3 linked regions of the Oryzias latipes genome follow. The protein of the gene in region 2 interacts with the protein of the main gene of each other region in a biochemical or structural test. Links are inferred from orthologs where the notes say so. Each region holds a gene or a part of one and is shown on either strand. Other genes may lie near its edges. The genes, in order: apbb1, ena/VASP-like protein and rad51.

What was found.
Region 1: the proteins of ena/VASP-like protein (region 2) and apbb1 form a complex in vitro, tested with the Homo sapiens proteins (2 studies listed by BioGRID). The link is inferred for Oryzias latipes from reciprocal best matches to the Homo sapiens genes EVL and APBB1.
Region 3: the proteins of ena/VASP-like protein (region 2) and rad51 form a complex in vitro, tested with the Homo sapiens proteins (2 studies listed by BioGRID and IntAct). The link is inferred for Oryzias latipes from reciprocal best matches to the Homo sapiens genes EVL and RAD51.

What each region holds. Positions count from the first base shown.
Region 1 is NC_019871.2:9,726,896-9,730,559, forward strand, and holds the start of apbb1 (amyloid-beta A4 precursor protein-binding family B member 1), read right to left. Parts: upstream 2,821-3,664; 5' UTR 2,660-2,820; intron 322-2,659; 5' UTR 300-321; coding exon 1-299. UniProt on the Homo sapiens protein: Transcription coregulator that can have both coactivator and corepressor functions. Adapter protein that forms a transcriptionally active complex with the gamma-secretase-derived amyloid precursor protein (APP) intracellular domain.
Region 2 is NC_019882.2:2,014,337-2,017,988, forward strand, and holds part of ena/VASP-like protein, read right to left. Parts: exon of another isoform or gene 3,095-3,652; intron 3,086-3,094; coding exon 2,917-3,085; intron 1,830-2,916; coding exon 1,652-1,829; intron 1-1,651. UniProt on the Homo sapiens protein: Ena/VASP proteins are actin-associated proteins involved in a range of processes dependent on cytoskeleton remodeling and cell polarity such as axon guidance and lamellipodial and filopodial dynamics in migrating cells.
Region 3 is NC_019882.2:19,722,650-19,726,401, reverse strand, and holds the start of rad51 (DNA repair protein RAD51 homolog 1), read right to left. Parts: upstream 2,179-3,752; 5' UTR 2,108-2,178; intron 2,072-2,107; exon of another isoform or gene 1,987-2,071; intron 1,168-1,986; 5' UTR 1,124-1,167; coding exon 1,034-1,123; intron 959-1,033; coding exon 821-958; intron 751-820; coding exon 633-750; intron 561-632; coding exon 469-560; intron 393-468; coding exon 298-392; intron 227-297; coding exon 113-226; intron 1-112. Other genes in the region: centromere-associated protein E, read right to left, coding at 3,123-3,202.

The sequences.
Region 1 (3,664 bases), on a different chromosome or scaffold from region 2:
GCTAGTTTGGGAACCTTGGTCTGCTCTTCGTTTCCCTGCTGTTCTTCCTGAGTGATGTTCTGGTGAGGAAAGTCATCCTCGTTTCCATTCTGACTGATATTACAGTTGTGATCTTGATCCTGATGATTCTCAGCTACTTTCCGGAGCTGGTTCTGGCCTTCTTTGACCCACTTGGCATTGTTGCTTGTAGACTCCTGGTCGCACCAGTGGCTGCCTTCATTCAGCTTGTTTTTCAGCTCTTCCTCTTGCCTTTGTTTATTTACAACATATGTCATATCTTCATCATCATGACCACCCATGGTAACTTTCCATGCGAGATATCTGATGAAGAAAGAAATGTTAGAAACACAGCGTTAGAATTTCAAATAGCATGTACTTTGCAGGCAGTTTAGGACAACAGTTATTTTTTAAACACAGTTTTTATTTCATTTCATGTGGTTTTAAATTATAGCATTTTAAAGTGATCTATACTTGTGCAATCATGTGTAGGCACAGGGCTAAAGAAAGACAGAAATAAACACAGAATGAAAGAAAGACAGACAGAAAGACAGACAGAAAGACAGACAGAAAGACAGACAGAAAGACAGAAAGACAGAAAGACAGAAAGAAAGAAAGAAAGAAAGAAAGAAAGAAAGAAAGAAAGAAAGAAAGAAAGAAAGAAAGAAAGAAAGAAAGAAAGAAAGAAAGAAAGAAAGAAAGAAAGAAAGGTTTTGTTTTATGAAAAAATGCTGAATACATTTTTAACTGTTGGCATATTTCTAAAAAAACACAGGATGAAAACAAGATACAAAATCATTGCAGACAGGCTAAATCAGAAACCTTTTTTGTTATTCACTGCAACCGATTTCTAAAGCAGGATCCTTTTTCAAACGACCCATAATTTCTTTCCAAAAAGCTGAGACACAAACCACAAGCTTACACTCCCAAAATGGCCTGTAAAACCGAAGATTCTTTACAAATCTTAACTAAGACTAACTTAAGCCTGTGATGAAAAGGCTAGTTTTCTTAAAGAATCTGCTAAAAATGTATTGCAGAGTTAGTGACCAATTTCCAACCTTTTTTCTTTATTTCTTAGAAATGCTGTTGCTTTTATAGAACTGAATTTTGATAGCCAAGTCCTCAAACTGATTGTAAGTCAGCAGCTGGAACCAGTGAACACCAAGAAAAAAAAAGTTTGGATGTGGATTAGGCCTGGACAATAAATCGCAAATTTATCGTTATCGCATTATCAAGCTGTGCATTACGCATAACCGCAAAAGTCGGTGAAAATTGCATACCTTAAATGTGCTAAAACAATCTTATGACACCTTGAAGTATTTAATAAATCAAATAAATCCCTTAATGTTATTGCCCAATCAGATGGAGCCCTTTTAATGTTAGATGCTCGCCTCCTATGCAGACGAGGGTCATTTGGAGTAGAATTTAAGTTATGTTGACTTTTATTTAAATCAAACTGTTGCAGTGAAATGGAATTGATGCTTTTGGTAGTTTTGCTATTCGTTCATGCATCGCAAGTTCTATCATCATCGCAATATTGATCACTATTATCGCAAATTGTGAGTTTTCTTTATATCGTGCAACCCTAATGTGGATATCAGTTATATGAGAAATTTTATGTCAAATATTAAGATCATCTGAGCAATATGACAGGTATCCGGTCCTGCATATAACCAAACTCTTGCAAACATACAAAGTAGCTGTTATGCTGTTGGCCTGCAGAAAAGTCAACCAATGATTCTCCTGCACTCTGATTAGAGCTAATGCAGCAGTAAAACTATTTCTGATTTAAAAAACAATAACAGCCACAGCCTTTAGAGAAATAGGGAGCTGCAGCAGTCGCATCAAACCTTGAGAAATGATTTTATTTTAGTTTTAAGACACTGTCTTGGAGGAGGCAAAACCAGAGCAGCACAGTCATTCAGTGGAGGCGTAAAAAGACAGTTTGACAGCTGAGAGTCTTTTTTTTATTTTTTTTTTAACTACTTTGACAATTGCATCCCACTTGATCAGTTGACATAACGCCTACCTGGAAGCTGTGGAAGCTTTATGAGGAACCAGCTGTTTGGTTTTCCTTATTTTATATACTTAAATCAAATAATAATTCATTTAGGAGAGGGGGCATGCAGCAAAGCTTTGAGATAATGTCAAATATCTGATGCTGCAGTTCCTACATATTTCCTATAATTTAATAGCACGTCGTTAGCATCTACAAATATGCTTTTCCAGATTGATTAAAGCAAATCCATATGGGTAGAGTACGTTTAAAAGAAGCAAGTGTGTTATTATTCTTCTCTATGGTCGTCAGGGATTCCATCCGGAAAATTATACTCATCCTTTCCATTTGCTTGCTTGCTAGCACGGCCTTTTTAAGGTTTAAGATAATACGCTCAAGTGGCAGTAAAATGGCTGGCCCTGACAAATATTTTGAATTCAGAAAAGAATGAATACAAAATATAAAAGATAGAAGACAAAATTCAGCGGCGGATGCTATCGCCGCAGCTGGAAATAACGGCCACCATCCGCCGCCATCATCACCTTCTTCTCTGCTCGGCTAAGGGGTTAGCTTCGCCCCGCTAGCCAGCCAAGGCTACCGAAGTGAGGGTTTCAACGGTTGACGTCTCCCAGGATATTATCCAGAGCTGTTCAAAAGATAACTTACCGGTTCCACCAAACCCGCTGTGATCGATAATTGCTCTGGAGGCCGAGTTAACTACATATTTCCACGCATCGTGAGGTTCTGCTCGGTTCTGGGTGTTTTCAGGCAGTGATGGAGGACGGACTGCGTCACGGAATGACGTCACGGCCCGAGCCCACGGAGCAGGAAGGGGGGCTCCACGAAGCAGCCTCACCGTTTTTGGAGAAAAAGATCCATCCAGTGAGGACGTTTTTGACTTCATTACATGCCACATCAAACAATCACATCAAACATGAGAGATAGGTAAATATATACTGTATATGTAGTCTTTAAAGTATTGTACAACCAAAAAAAAAAAAAAAAAAATCAGAGTAACGGAGCAGAAAAAAGGAAAAGGTTACATAACTTTAATTTTATTTCTCTATTATTTCCCAACAAAAACTCAAAACATAAAGCCTACAAAACCTAAATTTAGCGTGGCTTTTTTATACTCTGCTTTCCTTTTCAAAAACCTAATTTCTGACCTGTTTTTGGAACAACAGACAGATAACGGTCAATTTAGATTATTTTATTTTTTATTTTTGCAGCCTTTAAACTTCATTTTATTATTGAGCTTATCAGGTTCAACATAAAATTGGCAAATAAATATTCATTTATTTTTATTTTTATTATGAAAAAAAAAAGTATAAACCGAAAATAAAAGTCAAATACAAGAAAGAAAACATGTTTTTTTTTACAGTTTGTTTCAGTTTTTAAAATAAATTGAAAACATTTCTTGGATCATTTTAATCAACCATTGTGTTAAATCTTTAGAACTCAAATGTTGTTAAATAAGAATTTTAACCTATTGCATCTACACAAAAAAGATATTTCCAGTGCACTAAAAGCTTAAATAACACTTATTAAATGTATTTTAAAATATCTTATTTTTTTAAATAAGAACAAAAACAATTTGGACTATTTGTTAATCTTCTTAATCAATGCTAAAATTCTTCTCCAAGCAAATTATGGATAAGCTAGATCAGGGGT
Region 2 (3,652 bases):
GTTTAAAATAAACAGATTTAATGCATTTGATTTGACAGAATCTTGAAATTGAAGAACCCGGACTTATTGCCTTCTTTTTCAAAACAGTCTCCTGGATGAATGAGAATCTTCATTGACTTAATACGGCGCTGTTTTGTCAGATTCCCTAATATCAATTCAAAATCTTTACTTCTACATCAGCTATTTCAAGTGTTTAAATTGTCATTTAAAACCCCTTTTTCTATAGTTTTAAAGTCACACATCACGGAAATAGTTTTTAAATTAATAAAAGTACCTACATGACATGGTGCAGAAGAGAAAGCGGTTGCAGCAGATGCACAGACACTGACAGACCCACTCCCTCCTGACCATCTCCTGCCTCGGTTGTCCCTACACCTCCACTCTCCCACTCCCGCTCTGTCCATCTCCACCTCTTTGTGCCTCCTCACCTCCTTCCCCGCCTCGGCATCGTGTGTCATGTTTGAGGAAACCCACACCGGCAGCAGTGCAGCGAGCATCTTTGGCTAAGGTTTCAAAACATTGGGTTTGTCTGCAAGCTGCACGGCCGAATGTCACCGAGCCACATGAGAAGTCGATTATCTGAGTGGCCCCTGGCTGCAGCAGGCGGCCCCTCGTCAACAAAATCAACCACTTTCATCGTGTTTTAAGTCAAAATGACCACCATGGGTCATGTTTTTGTCCCCCCTACCACTAGGAGGTATTATCAGCATAAAGACTACACATAACCTATGGAACTGTCCAAAGTGAGGTTCACGCTAATCTTTTACACCTGCATCCAGTGTGTTCGTGTTTGGCTCAGATCAGCCAGCAGCTGCTGTCACTGCAGCCCTCGCCCCACGTTAGCATGCAGATGAAAAGGTCCGCTCCAGACCTCAGGGCCCAGGGGAGATCCTCTCCATGAGTCATCTTAATTAACGGGCCGGGGGGGTCGACTGCAGGGGCAAACTAAAAAACCCTGCAGGCTGTGAACGCCACTCCGTCTCATTCTGTTCCTCTGCAGTTTCTAACTCTGTGGGGCAGCGCTTGTGAATCATTTATCTCCTGATAAGAGCAGGAAAAATGGACACATTTAGACAAATGGCCTAAAAACACGACCGTTTGCCTCATCTGAGAAATGAAGATGGAGACTTTTATTGTTTCTCCACACGTCCTTGACAAAGAGACGATCCATCATCTCAATTACAGTTTGATCTTCTCATCTCCAGCAGGATCTACCTGCTGGGTACTACAACTCATCCAGCAGATTTCATGGCTTGTAACCTGAGCCCCACATTTACAAAAGGATCAAACAATCAATCAACAAAAACCAGAACTCTGTTTAAACTCCAATTAGAGCCAGATTAGTTATGGACTAAGACACAATAGGGGAGTAGCAGGTTTTAACGCCCTGCGTGAGGCATCATCTTACACCTATCATTGGACGCCTCAATAATTGAGTTTGGAGATCTTGATGAGATTTTCTGCCAACGTTCCTTTTTTTTTTGTAGAAATTGCGAAGAACAAACTTCTTCAGTTGTTTGCTGAAAGCTTTCAGATGTGGGAGGGGCTGAGTCACTGACTGCAGTCCCTGTAAACATCTTCATCGTTTTCCTATCAGTCCAGAAAAAGTTGCAGGTTTCGTCGTTGCTAAATGAGTCAAACGAGAACACACCTCCATCCTGAGCACTGAGGACATTGAGGGCGAAGAGCATGGCGTTGGAGAAGGTGGTGGCCTCCTCTTTACTGGCAAAGTTGAGGCCGTAGACCTGCCGGGCATCCCTCCACTGGTGAAAGGTGGGAGTGGCTTGGTTGTACTTGAGACCCTTCACTATGGAGTAGTTGATAACCACCTGTGAAAAGAAATGAGATGTTTTTATTTTTTTAGAAAAAGGAGCATTGTTCTTGTGTTTTGCCCTAAACATGACATACATCTGCTTGGGACGGTTTAAATAATGTCCCAAAAAGCCGATTATATTACCAAAACAAAAAACTGTCTATGACTCAAAATTCCCAACTTTGAATTTCCTTTTAACTATGCTTTTTTTCTTTTTTTTCTGTGTTTAAAGTTCAGGTTTGAGAAAAACACATGAGGATTAGGATTCTCCATATATTAAATCAGCTCTCATTTAATTTGAGCGAATCATGACAGTTCACCATAATCCAGAATTTAAAAAAGAAAGAAAGAAAAAAGGAAATTATTCAGCAGTTTATAAAATAACAACAAAAGTTGCTCAACAACAGAACATTCCATCCCACAGATCTCATCCAGAGTCCAGTGCGCTGCTTAAGATGTAAAAGATAAATATACCCAGAAAGCTTTAACTGACTGAGGCTGAACACCAATCTTCAAATCGTGTTTCTTTCTTTCCCACTAAACATTCAGCTTCAGAGCTTTTATTTTGAAAGAACCCCAACTGAGAGTTTAGCCTAAAAGTTATTTTGGAAATTCCTCACAGAAACATTAGGGCTTTTAGACATTATTTTAGTATTTTTGTTAAGGATAAAGAAAACGTCTCGTCTTCTGCTGTAAACATTACAACCAGACAGTTTATTTAAATCTACTGCAGGATGTAAAGGCCAAAAAAAGAGTGTTTTTTTACTTAAATAAAGATGCTAAAAGATAATTTTATTTAACTTTGTTTTTAAAAACGATGTGTCCTTCAAGGTTAGGTGGAATCCCTCAGCTGGTAGAAGATTAGTGCATAAGTAAGATTTATCTCACTGTTATTACATTTTTTTCAGCTTTTTTCTATGATTTTTAAAACACTAACATTTAGACTAAAAATGCTCTTAGTATTTTATTTCAGTGGCAAACTTTCAGGCTTCTGGAGCTTCATGAACACACAGAAGTCCCTGATTTGTTTAACAAAATGTGATCAATAAAATACATCCATCCCATTGGAAATGATAGAATATGTCTCAGTTGGACTCCGGTACCTGCTGGTCCTGCAGTTTGACACCGACCACTCTGAAGGTGTTGCTGGCAGTGTTGTGGTAGATGTTGATGCGACTGAATCCCTGCTGTCCGGGTTTGATGGGAACCCACTTCTTACTGGTGTCATCGTAGACCATGACGGAGGCTCGAGCCTGGCAGATGCTCTGCTCGCTGGGGGGAAAACACAAAAAGACGAAGGATTCGTGAAAGAAATCCTGATTTAAACATCCTGAAGCTGGACGAAACATCCTCCTACGTACAGTAACTACCAACAATGCAAATGTGTCCTCTGTAGAGAACATTTCTGAATGTCTCCCAACCACCGAAAGAACTCCTTTTGGTACAGAGGACAGATATAAAGGGGGCGGAGCTCTGGGAATTGTAGTTTTCGGGGGATCTCAACTGAAAGTTTTTTCTGGTAGTCAGGAGAAAATGCCACCATTTCCACACTTAAGGTTGTAGTTCAGAATAAATATAATAGAGTACGGTCTAAAAGTGAACCACAGTTTTACAAATTATCCATCAATTTACTCAACCCGCTTTATTGTCCTTTTTGGGGTCACAGGGTTGCCGGAATTTGTCCCGGCTACCATTTTACGAAGAAAAGAATAAACAGAAACGACTAAAATGTGCTAAAAACCCAACAAACTGAAACCGTTTGGTTCCTCTAAACAACAAAGTGGAAAAGAAATGTCAAAATAAAAGTCTAATTAAGTAATTGGAAAAAATCCAGTTGAA
Region 3 (3,752 bases), about 18 Mb from region 2:
TAAAGCTCAAACACTTGGGTATGTGACCTTTGACTGAATGTGTTCGGAAACCTGCAAACTGTCTGATCTCAGGAAGTGGACTGGAGGACAGCAGAAGGTGTGAAGGACTCACCTGGACTCTGCCATCATGGCTGAAGCTTGGTACAGCAGTTGGGTCTGATGGTCGGTGTTGAAGGCGCGGGCGTACGCCACGTTGTCCAGGACGTCACTGCCCACCAGACCGTACCTGAAGAGCCCAGAGTTTTAACATTTTCTCAAAGTAAGATGAGGAGTTTGACGCTCACGGTGGAAACTCGCCTCTCTGCCACAGCGAGGAGCCTCTCTGGTCTGAAGGTCCCCTCTGTGTCGATGTACATCGCTTTCCCTTCTCCTCCCCCTTGATCGATGGGCAGCTGCAAACAGAACAGAGGACTGAAAGCTTCACGTGATCAGACAGATGGAAGTTTGGCCATTCCGCGCTGATCTTACCTGACACGTGACAGCGAGGGTGTGGCACAGCTGCGTCTTCCCCGTGCGAAACTCCCCAAACATCTCTGTGATGGAGCCTGTCTCAATACCACCTGAACTCAGGAAGGAAAAGGTCAACATTCTTCAAATCCTCAGGGATGGTGAAGGAGCTCCAGCAAACTCACCCTGCAGGAGTTTGTCCAGCTCTTTGGATCCTGTGGAGATCTGGATGATCTCCGACCTTCTCTGGTGGAACTCTGTGGCTGTAGTGAAACCCATCGGTACTAGCTTGGCAGCTTCAGTCTGAGAGAGATAACAGAACCGTTAGGTAGGAGCAGCAGAATCCCTGAAGCCAGAAGCTGCTGTTCCTCACTAGGATCTTGTCGGCTTTGGCCTCGCTGATGCCTTTGATGTTGAGCAGCTCCTTCTTGGGAGCGTACGCCACGGCCTCAATGGTGTGGAAGCCTGCGTCCTCCAGTTTCTTGATGTCGCTGGAGCTGATTCCACACTGCTGCAAGCAGAAACCAAAATGTTTAAGACAACAAAGCTTCTGCAAAAGACACAATAGAACTATCAGGGTTCAAACCTCCAGTCTGCTAAGAGGCTGCGGCCCAAAGTTCTCCTCCTCCTCCACCGCCACTTCTGCCTCCACCCGAGCCTCGCTCCTCATGGCCATGACTCTTGAATGAAAAGCTGAATTCTCCTCAGGCAGGGTCCTCACTGCACAGAGTCAAAAAGGAGTGTCAGAGCAGCAAACACCACGATACAAAACAAAACAGGACAGAAAGTTTAAGGAGGTCTAATGCTTTCATTTAACTAAATCCTACTGATTTAATACTAGTTTTTCTTCAAAACATAAAAGACTTGAGGATATTTTCTTAAACTAAAATAGGAGCGTTTTAAACGACCCAAAACACCTAAGCACAGAATAAGAATATTAACAGTAACTTAAAACTTAAACACGTGAAACATGATTTCCCAGCATGCAATTATCCATCAATCCTCTTTAGAGGTTTTTAAGCAATATACTGAATACTAACGAATTTTTATTAGTCAAATAATTTTAAATATATACGTTTAAATTACTTTTCTTTCCTCTACATAATTCAGGGAATAAAGTGGCATTATCAAACCAATTTGCAGCCTGTTATGCAGCAGGGATTTGTAGTTCTTAGTTGTAGTTGATAAAATAAAATGTTAACTGCAGCGTCTCAGCAGGTGTTCAAAGCTTTTTTTAATCCGCATTTTATAATAAATGATTAGAAGAGACAAATGTTTTCTAAAGTTAACATTGCCTGTTGAAGTTACACCCCGTTGTTCAAATTCAAAAACTTTATTGATAAGTTGACGTAACACTTATGGGGAAACCAGTGTTTAACCAAACGACTACAAACTGACTCCTATAAATCAAAGTTTTCCAATAACAACAGCAGCTGTTCATATTTTCAAAAGGCTTATTTGTATCTTTCAAAGCATTTTTTGGCTAAATTGAAGTCGCCCGCTAACTTAGCTTTAGCGCTAATTTGCGTAATTTCGTACAAAAAGTTTGATCTTCCGTAAAGCTGCTCTGGGTTTAAGAGCAAAGAGCCAAGTGTCATGGTTCGAACCCCCTAGAAGCAGTGACATTTTTCTACTAAAGACCACGGTTTCGATGAAATACCTGCTGCTTTGTTCTGTTTGCTGATCCTACAAACAAAACTCCCGCGCACGAGATTCCTGTCGAACGCGATGACGTCACATGTGTTCCCATGCCTTGACAAAACAGGAAACCGGAAAAGGAACATTTTTTTTATCAAGTAAAAAATAAAGAACTAAACATTTTCGGTTTTAGCTTCGTAAATGGATATTAGTTTGAAATTGTTTTCCACAAAAACATAAAATATGTATACTTAAATCTTAAAAAAAGAGGCTTGCTCATAATGTGAAAAGCTACAAAGAACAGGGATCCGTTAAAAATCCAAAATTTCTCATTAGGAAGATCTGTTTAAACGCATTTTCCCCTCAATTTCATGTTTATAAGTAATGTCTTTACCAAATAAAATGTCTGTCAGACACGTTTTTGTGATTATTTTAACAAAAAAAGTCTTCAAAAGTGGTATTTAGATTCATTTATTCATCCGTGACTAATAAGGTTTTCAGTAAACATTGAAATAAACCTTTATTTTGATAGAGCAAAGATTTCACTGAATTGTAAAAGCACTTTCAGGCATCATTGGCATCTTGTTTAAATTTGAAGCCTTTATTTTACTTTCAATAGGAAAATAAAATCCCCACCATAAAAGGATTTAAACATGACCTCCGCATGCTTAAATATGCGTTTGATTTTAAACTAGTTCCTCAAAAACAAACATCCAAGTCATGGGCCAATAAATGCAAATTCAAATTTAAAACAGCTGTGACCTACTAATTTGACATTTTTCGTACATAACTGCAACAAAATTCAAGTGAATTTTTTTTTTCCAACCAAGCGTAACCTTAAAACAATAAAAGAATAAACCTCACATTTCATTTTCCATTTATTACAATTATAACAAAATTGCACATGAAGTGTTTTCAACTCAGAGGAGAATCACTCTTATACTGAAATACAAAAAAGTCAGACTAAAACACAGGATTTATTTTTTGGCTTTAAAAGAAAAGTGAAATATTCATTTTTAAAAGGATTCTTTTAATGTTCATTGGGTTTTGCAGAAATCTTCTTTTTTGGGAGACTGTGGCCACCACGGGTCTGTCCCACTGGCTCCAGCTGCAGCATCTGAAAAATAAAAGATTTAAAAACATTTTTTCTGTGCTTTAATCATCAACATGACAGAATCCTTTACCCTGGATTTAAAGAAAAAGACTGGGGTTAGAACAAATGCACACAGATAAATATATATTTAAAAAGTAAATAAGAAGAAAAAACCTGAATTTGTTAACAGAATTTACTGTCTTTACTAAAATGAATCTGCTCAGCTTTATGTTTTTTCAGACTTCAGAACAGATCAAAGGTTAGTTTGCATCTTCAGAAAACTTTTCAGTAACCGTTAAAAACATTAGTAAGCAGGAAAATTCCAGAAGTAGCTTTTGAATCAACAACTTCACGGTGACTCAAGAAACCTCTGGATCTTTTCACAAATTAAGAGCCTGCTTTTAAAGAAAGGAGAGAGTCAAGGGTCCTCCCAGAATTAAACAGCTGTCCACAGATATGCCTGCCTATTAATCTGCTGAAACGCCTTCCTCTGGAATGGAAAGACTCCCATTTCCACGGAGCACCTTCACAATAAAACCAGCACACTGTGGAAATAAAGAACTGCACTTTGGTT